Xenopus tropicalis: one gene and its partner. The protein of the gene in region 1 binds, or shares a complex with, the protein of each later gene. Links are inferred from orthologs where the notes say so. Each region holds a gene or a part of one and is shown on either strand. Other genes may lie near its edges.

The links. Proteins that work in one complex are often made in the same cells at the same time.
Region 2: snrnp200 (region 1) and lsm3 share a complex: the UniProt entries of both Homo sapiens proteins name them as parts of the U4/U6-U5 tri-snRNP complex. The link is inferred for Xenopus tropicalis from reciprocal best matches to the Homo sapiens genes SNRNP200 and LSM3.

The regions. Positions count from the first base shown.
Region 1 is NC_030679.2:125,093,257-125,096,905, reverse strand, and holds part of snrnp200 (U5 small nuclear ribonucleoprotein 200 kDa helicase), read left to right. Parts: coding exon 1-25; intron 26-433; coding exon 434-570; intron 571-652; coding exon 653-733; intron 734-1,010; coding exon 1,011-1,184; intron 1,185-1,275; coding exon 1,276-1,413; intron 1,414-2,317; coding exon 2,318-2,473; intron 2,474-2,671; coding exon 2,672-2,842; intron 2,843-2,993; coding exon 2,994-3,187; intron 3,188-3,454; coding exon 3,455-3,578; intron 3,579-3,649. UniProt on the Homo sapiens protein: Catalyzes the ATP-dependent unwinding of U4/U6 RNA duplices, an essential step in the assembly of a catalytically active spliceosome. Plays a role in pre-mRNA splicing as a core component of precatalytic, catalytic and postcatalytic spliceosomal complexes.
Region 2 is NC_030680.2:132,914,053-132,918,217, forward strand, and holds the end of lsm3 (U6 snRNA-associated Sm-like protein LSm3), read right to left. Parts: intron 4,108-4,165; coding exon 3,997-4,107; intron 3,909-3,996; coding exon 3,813-3,908; intron 1,021-3,812; coding exon 940-1,020; 3' UTR 592-939; downstream 1-591. UniProt on the Homo sapiens protein: Plays a role in pre-mRNA splicing as component of the U4/U6-U5 tri-snRNP complex that is involved in spliceosome assembly, and as component of the precatalytic spliceosome (spliceosome B complex).

The DNA.
Region 1 (3,649 bases):
GTACTGCGGCAACATCGTATGATGAGTGAGTTTTTTTTCTACATTTGTGTTGGTTTATTCTGCAAGAATTCTTTTAGGGGGCCCATTTACTAACCATCGGATTTTAAGTACAAAAAGTCACAGGAAAAAAATGCTGCGACTTTTCAGAGATTTACTATTTGTCTAAACGGCTAAAAATCCATATCTGACAATTCGCAAGGTTAAACTTGCTAAGTTGATGTAAAAGTCAAGGGCAGAGGTCCCTTCCCTTTCATTGAAGATTCTTCATTTGAGGAAATGAGTTTAGTTGAGTTTGAAAATTTTTTTAAAAAAAGACAAATTTTAGAGTTTTTGTAAATGTGCCCCTTAGTGTATTGGTCTTGTTAATGTCGTCATACACACTGTAAATATCCCCTAACTTAAGGTTTTTGACCACTCTTATATTCTTTTGCAGTTATGTATTGCACACTCTTGGCCAGTGCTCAGAGTGAAGCAGAGAAAGAAAGGATTATGGGCAAAATGGAGTCCGATCCTGAACTCTCTAAATATCTATACCAATTACAGGAGACTGAAAAGGAGGACCTGATTCGGGTAAGAGATGATGTTCTTAGAGAGGAGATTCTTTTGCTGTGTTTTCATTTATAGGCATTTATATATATTATTTTATTTTCAGGAGGCACGTGGGCACAGAGACAAGGTTAGGCAGTTAAACGTAGACATGGATTTGGAGAACATGGAAACAGAGCAAGGAGAGGTAGGCATGGAATACTGTTCCAAATTAAGACTTTGTGCAGTGCCAAGGCAATGGTAAAGAAGGAACAAGTGAAGCAGGATAATGTCATTTAAAATGTAACCAATTTCTTTAAAAAGGTACCTAGATTAATAGCATTTGAAATTTTATCCTGCAGGTTAATTACATATGTAAGCCAGTAGCAAAATAGAAGCTGTATTAAGCTAATATGATAAAAGCCATTTGTTTTTTTGTGATAATCCAAGGGTCATTTTGGTTTTGTCTTTTTATTTCCATCTAGGCTTTCGCTCCTCGTCAAGTATTGGACTTGGAGGATTTGGTTTTTGCCCAGGGTAGTCATTTCATGGCAAACAAACGATGCCAACTGCCTGATGGCTCCTTTAGACGTCAGCGAAAAGGGTATGAAGAGGTGCATGTGCCTGCCCTTAAACCCAAACCTTTTGCTTCTGATGAGGTAAGTGGAGTTCTTGATATTGTTGGACTAATTTTCCTTGTGAACTTGGATTGCCTCACTTTTTAATTTTTCTTTCCTTTTACCTGTTCAGCAACTGGTCCCAGTTGAAAAGCTACCTAAATATGCTCAGTCTGGCTTTGAAGGCTTCAAGACTCTGAATAGAATCCAGAGCAAATTGTTTAAAGCTGCATTGGAAACGGATGAGAACCTGTTGCTCTGTGCTCCCACCGTAAGGACTTTTTTCCTTATAATGCAATTTGTACACTTTGCATAATGTGCAAATATACTAATAGAGCCTTTTGTAGTTCACCTTTCAAACACTTATTTCAGTTCAGGTGTTGCTTTCAGTTTTTTTCATTTTTGACCATTTTTCTTTCTTAAACTGAAGTTTCAATTTTAAGGTTGTTCTCTCTGGTGTTTTAGTCATCACAGTTATCCAGACGCAGACTTTGAACTGTTACAGTAGGTAATAACATTCCATAGATGGTGCTAAGAAATGTATCAACTAATGTAGCAAAAATGTAGCTACAGCAGCTGCTGCAGAGCAACATAGGGCCAAAGATAAGAAATGTTTCAAATTAGAACAGTTGGTGATCCCCTCCCCCTTTTCAGAGCTGCAGCTGGGAAATGTGAAAAGATGTAAAATAAAACTTTAATATTCAATTAGAAAAAAGGTCAAAACTAAAATATAGAAAACAGTTTAAAAAAAGTATTTTATTTTAGTAACTTCCTGAAAACAACTAAACTGAAAAAAGTTTTCAGAAGCCGAACAACCATTGTAATGAATGTTTTTTCACTCTACTATGCACAAGGTGAAACTGCAGCAATTCTTAAAGGATGATCAGTTTCAGACTGATGCCCAGAAGTAAACGTTTTATACAATTTAAATTCTTGCAGTGATAGACTTTCTTTTTTTCCCCCAAATCAAGCCCCTTTCCGATATCTACTGGTGAAAAATGACTATGAGTTGTCTGGGCTCCCTCCTACCTTTCCCCCATTACATTAGTGTGAAAATTAAGCATTAGGCATTTCTTTATTAATCGGAAATTAACACATTTTCCTTGTTTATTATAATGACGAAGAAAAAAAGAAATTGGAACTGTGAATTTATTTTTCTCCTTTTGTTTTTCTAGGGAGCTGGTAAAACAAATGTAGCTCTCATGTGCATGCTCCGGGAGATTGGAAAGCACATAAATGTGGATGGCACCATCAATGTGGACAACTTCAAAATAATCTACATTGCTCCCATGAGATCCCTGGTCCAGGAAATGGTGGGCAGCTTCAGCAAGGTAACTTCAATTCTTACATCCCAACTGAGCCATATTTCAATGCATAATATTGGTGCTTTATGAAGTGGGAACATGTACCTAACATGGTGTTACTTACCTCATATGCATCAATACCAACTCCTAGTGTAGCTTTTGCTTATCACAAGAAGCATTCTAACAGGGCATGTTGGGCCTTATTGTCTGCATTTTCCTTTGCAGCGTTTGTCAACATATGGCATTACCGTGGCAGAGTTGACAGGAGATCACCAGCTATGTAAAGAAGAAATTAACGCCACACAGATCATAGTTTGTACCCCAGAAAAATGGGATATCATCACCCGTAAAGGAGGAGAGAGAACATACACTCAGCTTGTCCGTCTGATCATTCTGGTGAGGTCAAGGGACTAGCAAAGCTTGCCATCTTAATCTTTTGTGCCTTGTTTCAGTGTGTAAAGTTTTAGGCAACCTATTAAGTTAGTGGACTGTCCTGGAAATGACTAGTGGAAAGTAACTTATATCTAACTTGAGACTTTTCTTCAAGGATGAAGTACACTTGCTGCACGATGATAGAGGTCCGGTGTTGGAGTCTTTGGTCGCTCGAGCGATTCGTAATATTGAGATGACACAGGAGGATGTCCGGCTTATTGGTCTCAGTGCCACTTTGCCTAATTATGAGGATGTAGCCACATTTCTTCGTGTGGATCCTGCCAAGGGGCTTTTTTATTTTGACAACAGGTATCTGCTTCAACCATAGAATTAAGAACAAACTGCATTTCTAATCATTAATGTTTACTAGTTCATGAATTATGCATCCCAGTGTTTGTGTGTGCGTTTGGCTGTTAGTGGTGCGGCCATTACAGTCATACAGTTGCATATAATAGGAAACAAGGAATGGTCACTATTAAACATAGTAGATGAGCTTGAAAAAAGAGACACATGACAAGTCTAAATTGTTTGAGAAACAATTTTACAATATTTATCTTTATTTAAACATCTTTTCAGTTTTCGTCCGGTGCCACTGGAACAGACCTATGTAGGCATTACAGAGAAAAAGGCCATCAAACGTTTCCAGATCATGAATGAGATAGTTTATGAGAAAATCATGGAGCATGCCGGAAAGAACCAGGTTTGCACTTTTTCTAATGCTTTGGAAAGCAATATAGCTGAAATATGTAACAATTTTGACTTAATTATTTG
Region 2 (4,165 bases), on another chromosome or scaffold:
CAGTGAGGCTTTTTGCACCTAATAGTCTAGGGTTAGACAGAGACTTGTCCCCTAACGATGAGTCTGCTAATCCCCGTTAACATGTTCATGATCCCCCAATGGGGCCCCTACCAGAGGTGGGATAGGGAGACTGGGTGAAAAAGCAAAACAGCAGAGCTTAGAATTGGTCTGACAGAGTTACACTGAGCTTTACTCCATTTTGGAAATGGCAGGAAAACTACGTTTAAATGACAAATTCACAAGAGAGTCTGTAAACTGTCTTTCTTTCACCAAAAACGGAAAAGTGGTAGTTGAGTCGGAACTTAGGCGGATTTCTGTTTGTGAATCTGGAGAAAGTTTTCCATCACTTTTACTCCAAAAAAGGCTCTCTCCACTTTTGTGAATTCCCCCCTATGTGTAGTACAAGTGTTTAACCGTGTTTTTAAGTATTCTTTTTTTTAAAGACATCAAGTTCCTCAGGCAATGCCAGGAACCTCAGCTAGTGTGTATTTAGACTATTCACATTCAGACTATTATCACCAAGCCCAATGAAAACGGTTACAGGCTTTTTGAATGATAAATTACAGAACCTGTTACCAGACATCAGACTGATTAAATGGTAAATATCAAATTTATTAGATCATAATACAGTAAAACCTGTATTAACTATGCAGCTGATGTCAACAGAAAGGAAAACTTATACAATCCCCACTTGTATAAACAACGATCAAAACAAATTTATAAAAAAAAAAAAAAACGGCGTCTGCCATTAGCCTGGTTGTTTTTGATTAAAACACATTTGTTCACCAATATAGGAAAGCAACAAGATATTTCCATTTAAAGGATAAACTTAAGTGCCAACTGATCCTTGCAGTTCCTGTGGGTATCCAAAAAAGGTTCAGTAATCATAGCAAATTAAAATCCAGAGGTGTAACAGGACAACAGCTTGTTAGAAGGAAATCAACCAACTCTTAAGGGAGGAGCTACAAGAACCACACCATCGCCTCTTACAAACAGCATAGGGATGTTCCGCTTTGTAGACTGAAACAAAAGGGGGAAAAAAAAAGTTGTAAATTTTGCATTACAGAAAAGTACAATTTAGAACACAATAGAATTACACACAGCTTTAAAGGAGAAGGAAAGGCTAAGTCACTTGGGGGTGCCAAAATTTTAGGCACCACCAAGTGACTTAGATCGCTTACCTTGTATCCTGGGCTGGTGCCCCTGTTAGGAGAAAAAAGCACCAGCCCAGGGTACCTGTAGGAAGCACTTCCTCCTTCCTTTTTCTTCTCCCGGCGAAATCCGTCGGCCGGCGCATGCGCAGTAGAGTAAAAAGCCGACTTTGTTCTTTAAGTTCGGCTTTTCACTCTACTGCGCATGCGCTCGCAAGCGAATAGGAAGTAGGAAGCGCTCGCTGCTACCCCGGGCTGGTGCTGTTCTCTCCATACAGGGGCACCAGCCCGGGGTAAAAGGTAAGCGATCTAAGTCATTTGGGGGTGCCTAACATTTTGGCACCCCCAAGTGACTTAGCCTTTCCTTCTCCTTTAAGTAGGTTTAAGTGCAGTTAAGGGTAAACCAACCTTTTTATTGAAGCTACAAATAGTTACTGCTGTAAGTAAAGGACTGGTTTTAAACAACAAACTCACAGCTGGCAAGTCTTTATACCCACATAATGTCATTACTGCCTCTTGTGTCAAACTCACACCTACATTCAACCTAAACCAATTAAATTAGGGCAGGGTCCCGCCCCAGGGGCCCTGCAGGTGCCCGTGCCCCCAGAGGGCCTCCCAACCGATGTCCTCCCCCTAGCACGTAAAATTAACGTGTCGGGGCAGGAGCGGTCGGGCACGGGCAAGGGTCGGGTCTGGGCCGCCGGGGCCCACCGGGATTTTTCCCGGTATCCTGGCGGCCCAGTCCGACCCTGAATTGGGAATCATACTGTCTGATTCTCCTTAAGTTCCGAGGGCAGCACTACACTAGAGCTCCTGCAAAGCAAAACAATCCAAACCGTGTTAATAAAATTAACACACAGGTACTGAAAATTATGCAGAATATATTTAATGCAGGAGATAATCAGGGAAAGATGCCAACAAAGTGACAAACTAAAACATGAATTCCTTTATATTGTAGGTAGGAGCAGCAGCTTGCGAGGCCTACTATATACCACATTCTCATGATCAGTGCAATGTCTAATATGATTCTGCCCTAATCATACATCATAAACTAGATGTTAGCAAAACATCAAATAATTGCTTTTATGGTATATGTTGATTTCATTTTTCATGCTAAACACAGTAAAATCTATAGTAACTATGCATCTGTCTACAGAATGGAAACTTAAATAATCCACATAAGTGGGTAAAATGCCTGCCAAACTGCATTCAGTACAGTTCAGGGGAAGCAGATACTTTTTCAGACAAGTTTCTAGAATGACTCCGACCTGATTTTGGTAGACAAAATTAAAACCAAACCAAGTAGCAGCCCTACTTTCAGTACACGTATGGGATCAGTTATCCGGAAACTCGTTATCCAGAAAGCTCCAAATTACGGAAAGCCTTTCTCCCATAGACTCCATTTTAATCAAATAATTAAGATTTTTAAAATGATTTCCTTTTTCCCTGTAGTAATAAAACAATACCTTATATTTGGTCCCAACTAAAATATAATTAATCCTTACTGGGGGCAAAACAAACCTATTGCATTTAATTAATGTTTTATTGATTTTGTAGTATCTGTAAGTCATGGGGATCCAAATTACGGAAAGACCCCTTATCTGGAATACCCTTGGTCCCGAGCATTCTGGATAATGGGGCCTATACCTGTACTCTGTAGGAAGCCAGAGAACCCATAATTGCACTTTTTACTGATATTAAGGGTTAAAGATTACAATTCACTTGTTTACCATTATCTTCCCCCTTTTTTTTTTAATAAAGAATGGGTTAGAAAACTAGATTTCTATACTAAACCTCGTTGCCTAGGTTTAAAGGGATTTTGACATGATTTTATGGTGTATTTCTATAGCAAATAATTCACTCTACCATTTAACATTGTTCTTGAACCAACAAATGTATTTTTAGCTGTAATATTGGTGTGTAGGCGCCATCTCAGTGCATTGTGCCCAAGTCTGAGCTTTCAGAAGGAGCCAGCGCTACACATTAGAACTGCTTTCAGGCAACCTATTGTTTCTCCTACTCCCATGTAACTGGAGGAGTCCCAAGCTGGACTGGCTTTCTTACTATTGAGTGCTATTCTGATATCAGCAATTTTAAGGTGTCAGGGAGCTGCTATCTTGTGGTACATATGGCAACTATAGAGACGAGTGATAAGTAAATTGCACCCCAAGGGACAGCCGCTTGAGCCCATGGCAGTCAACGCGTCACCCCTCCCTGGTTCCCCCATTCGCCCCTGCTACCAGCGCTACAGTGACAGATGGGTTGAGGGAGGAGCAAGACAGAGCAGTGTTAAGCGAGGCTCAGAGCAGAATGGATGGAACTCAGGGTAATTAGGCAGTAGAGGTACCTGCTTGGCACCCATCGACCATTGCGGCCAGACACGGGCCTCTTCTGCCTACCCCTAGTTTCGGCCCTGCTAAGGGTTACAATTTTTCACATCTTATATGAATTTTCACTTTATGGCATTATTTGCCCCTTTTAATACAAATATTTATTGTGCTTGTTGCTCAGCAGGCTAAGCCACAAAGCCTTTTTAAAAAGGTATACCTTATCGGAATATAGATTCATTTAATTTCTTAAGCAACCAGTAACTGAGATATATATAGGTAATAAATCCGTGTGTAAATGCAATAAAAGGAATGCAATTAAAATAATATTTACTTTGTAAATCTCCTCATATGTCTCCTCATCAATCTCTATGGTTGTCACGGTCTCTTCCACATCTCCCAGGATCATGTTCAAATGCTGATCATATGCCTGTATAAAAGAGCAAACAAGGAAACAGGTTTTCCTTACGCTTCAAATATGATCCGCACAAAACAAATCACCTATACTAAACACTCACGTGTAAACGTCCACGCAGCTCTCGGTCATTCCTCATCTTAACGTAGATCCGTTCATCTAGGCTAAGTCTGATCAGATCCAGAGGCTCTTCCACTGTATTTGTGGTTTGTTGCTAGATCGATGGAGAGGGGAGGAAACAGAGATGTAATACAATACTCAGCACCATGACC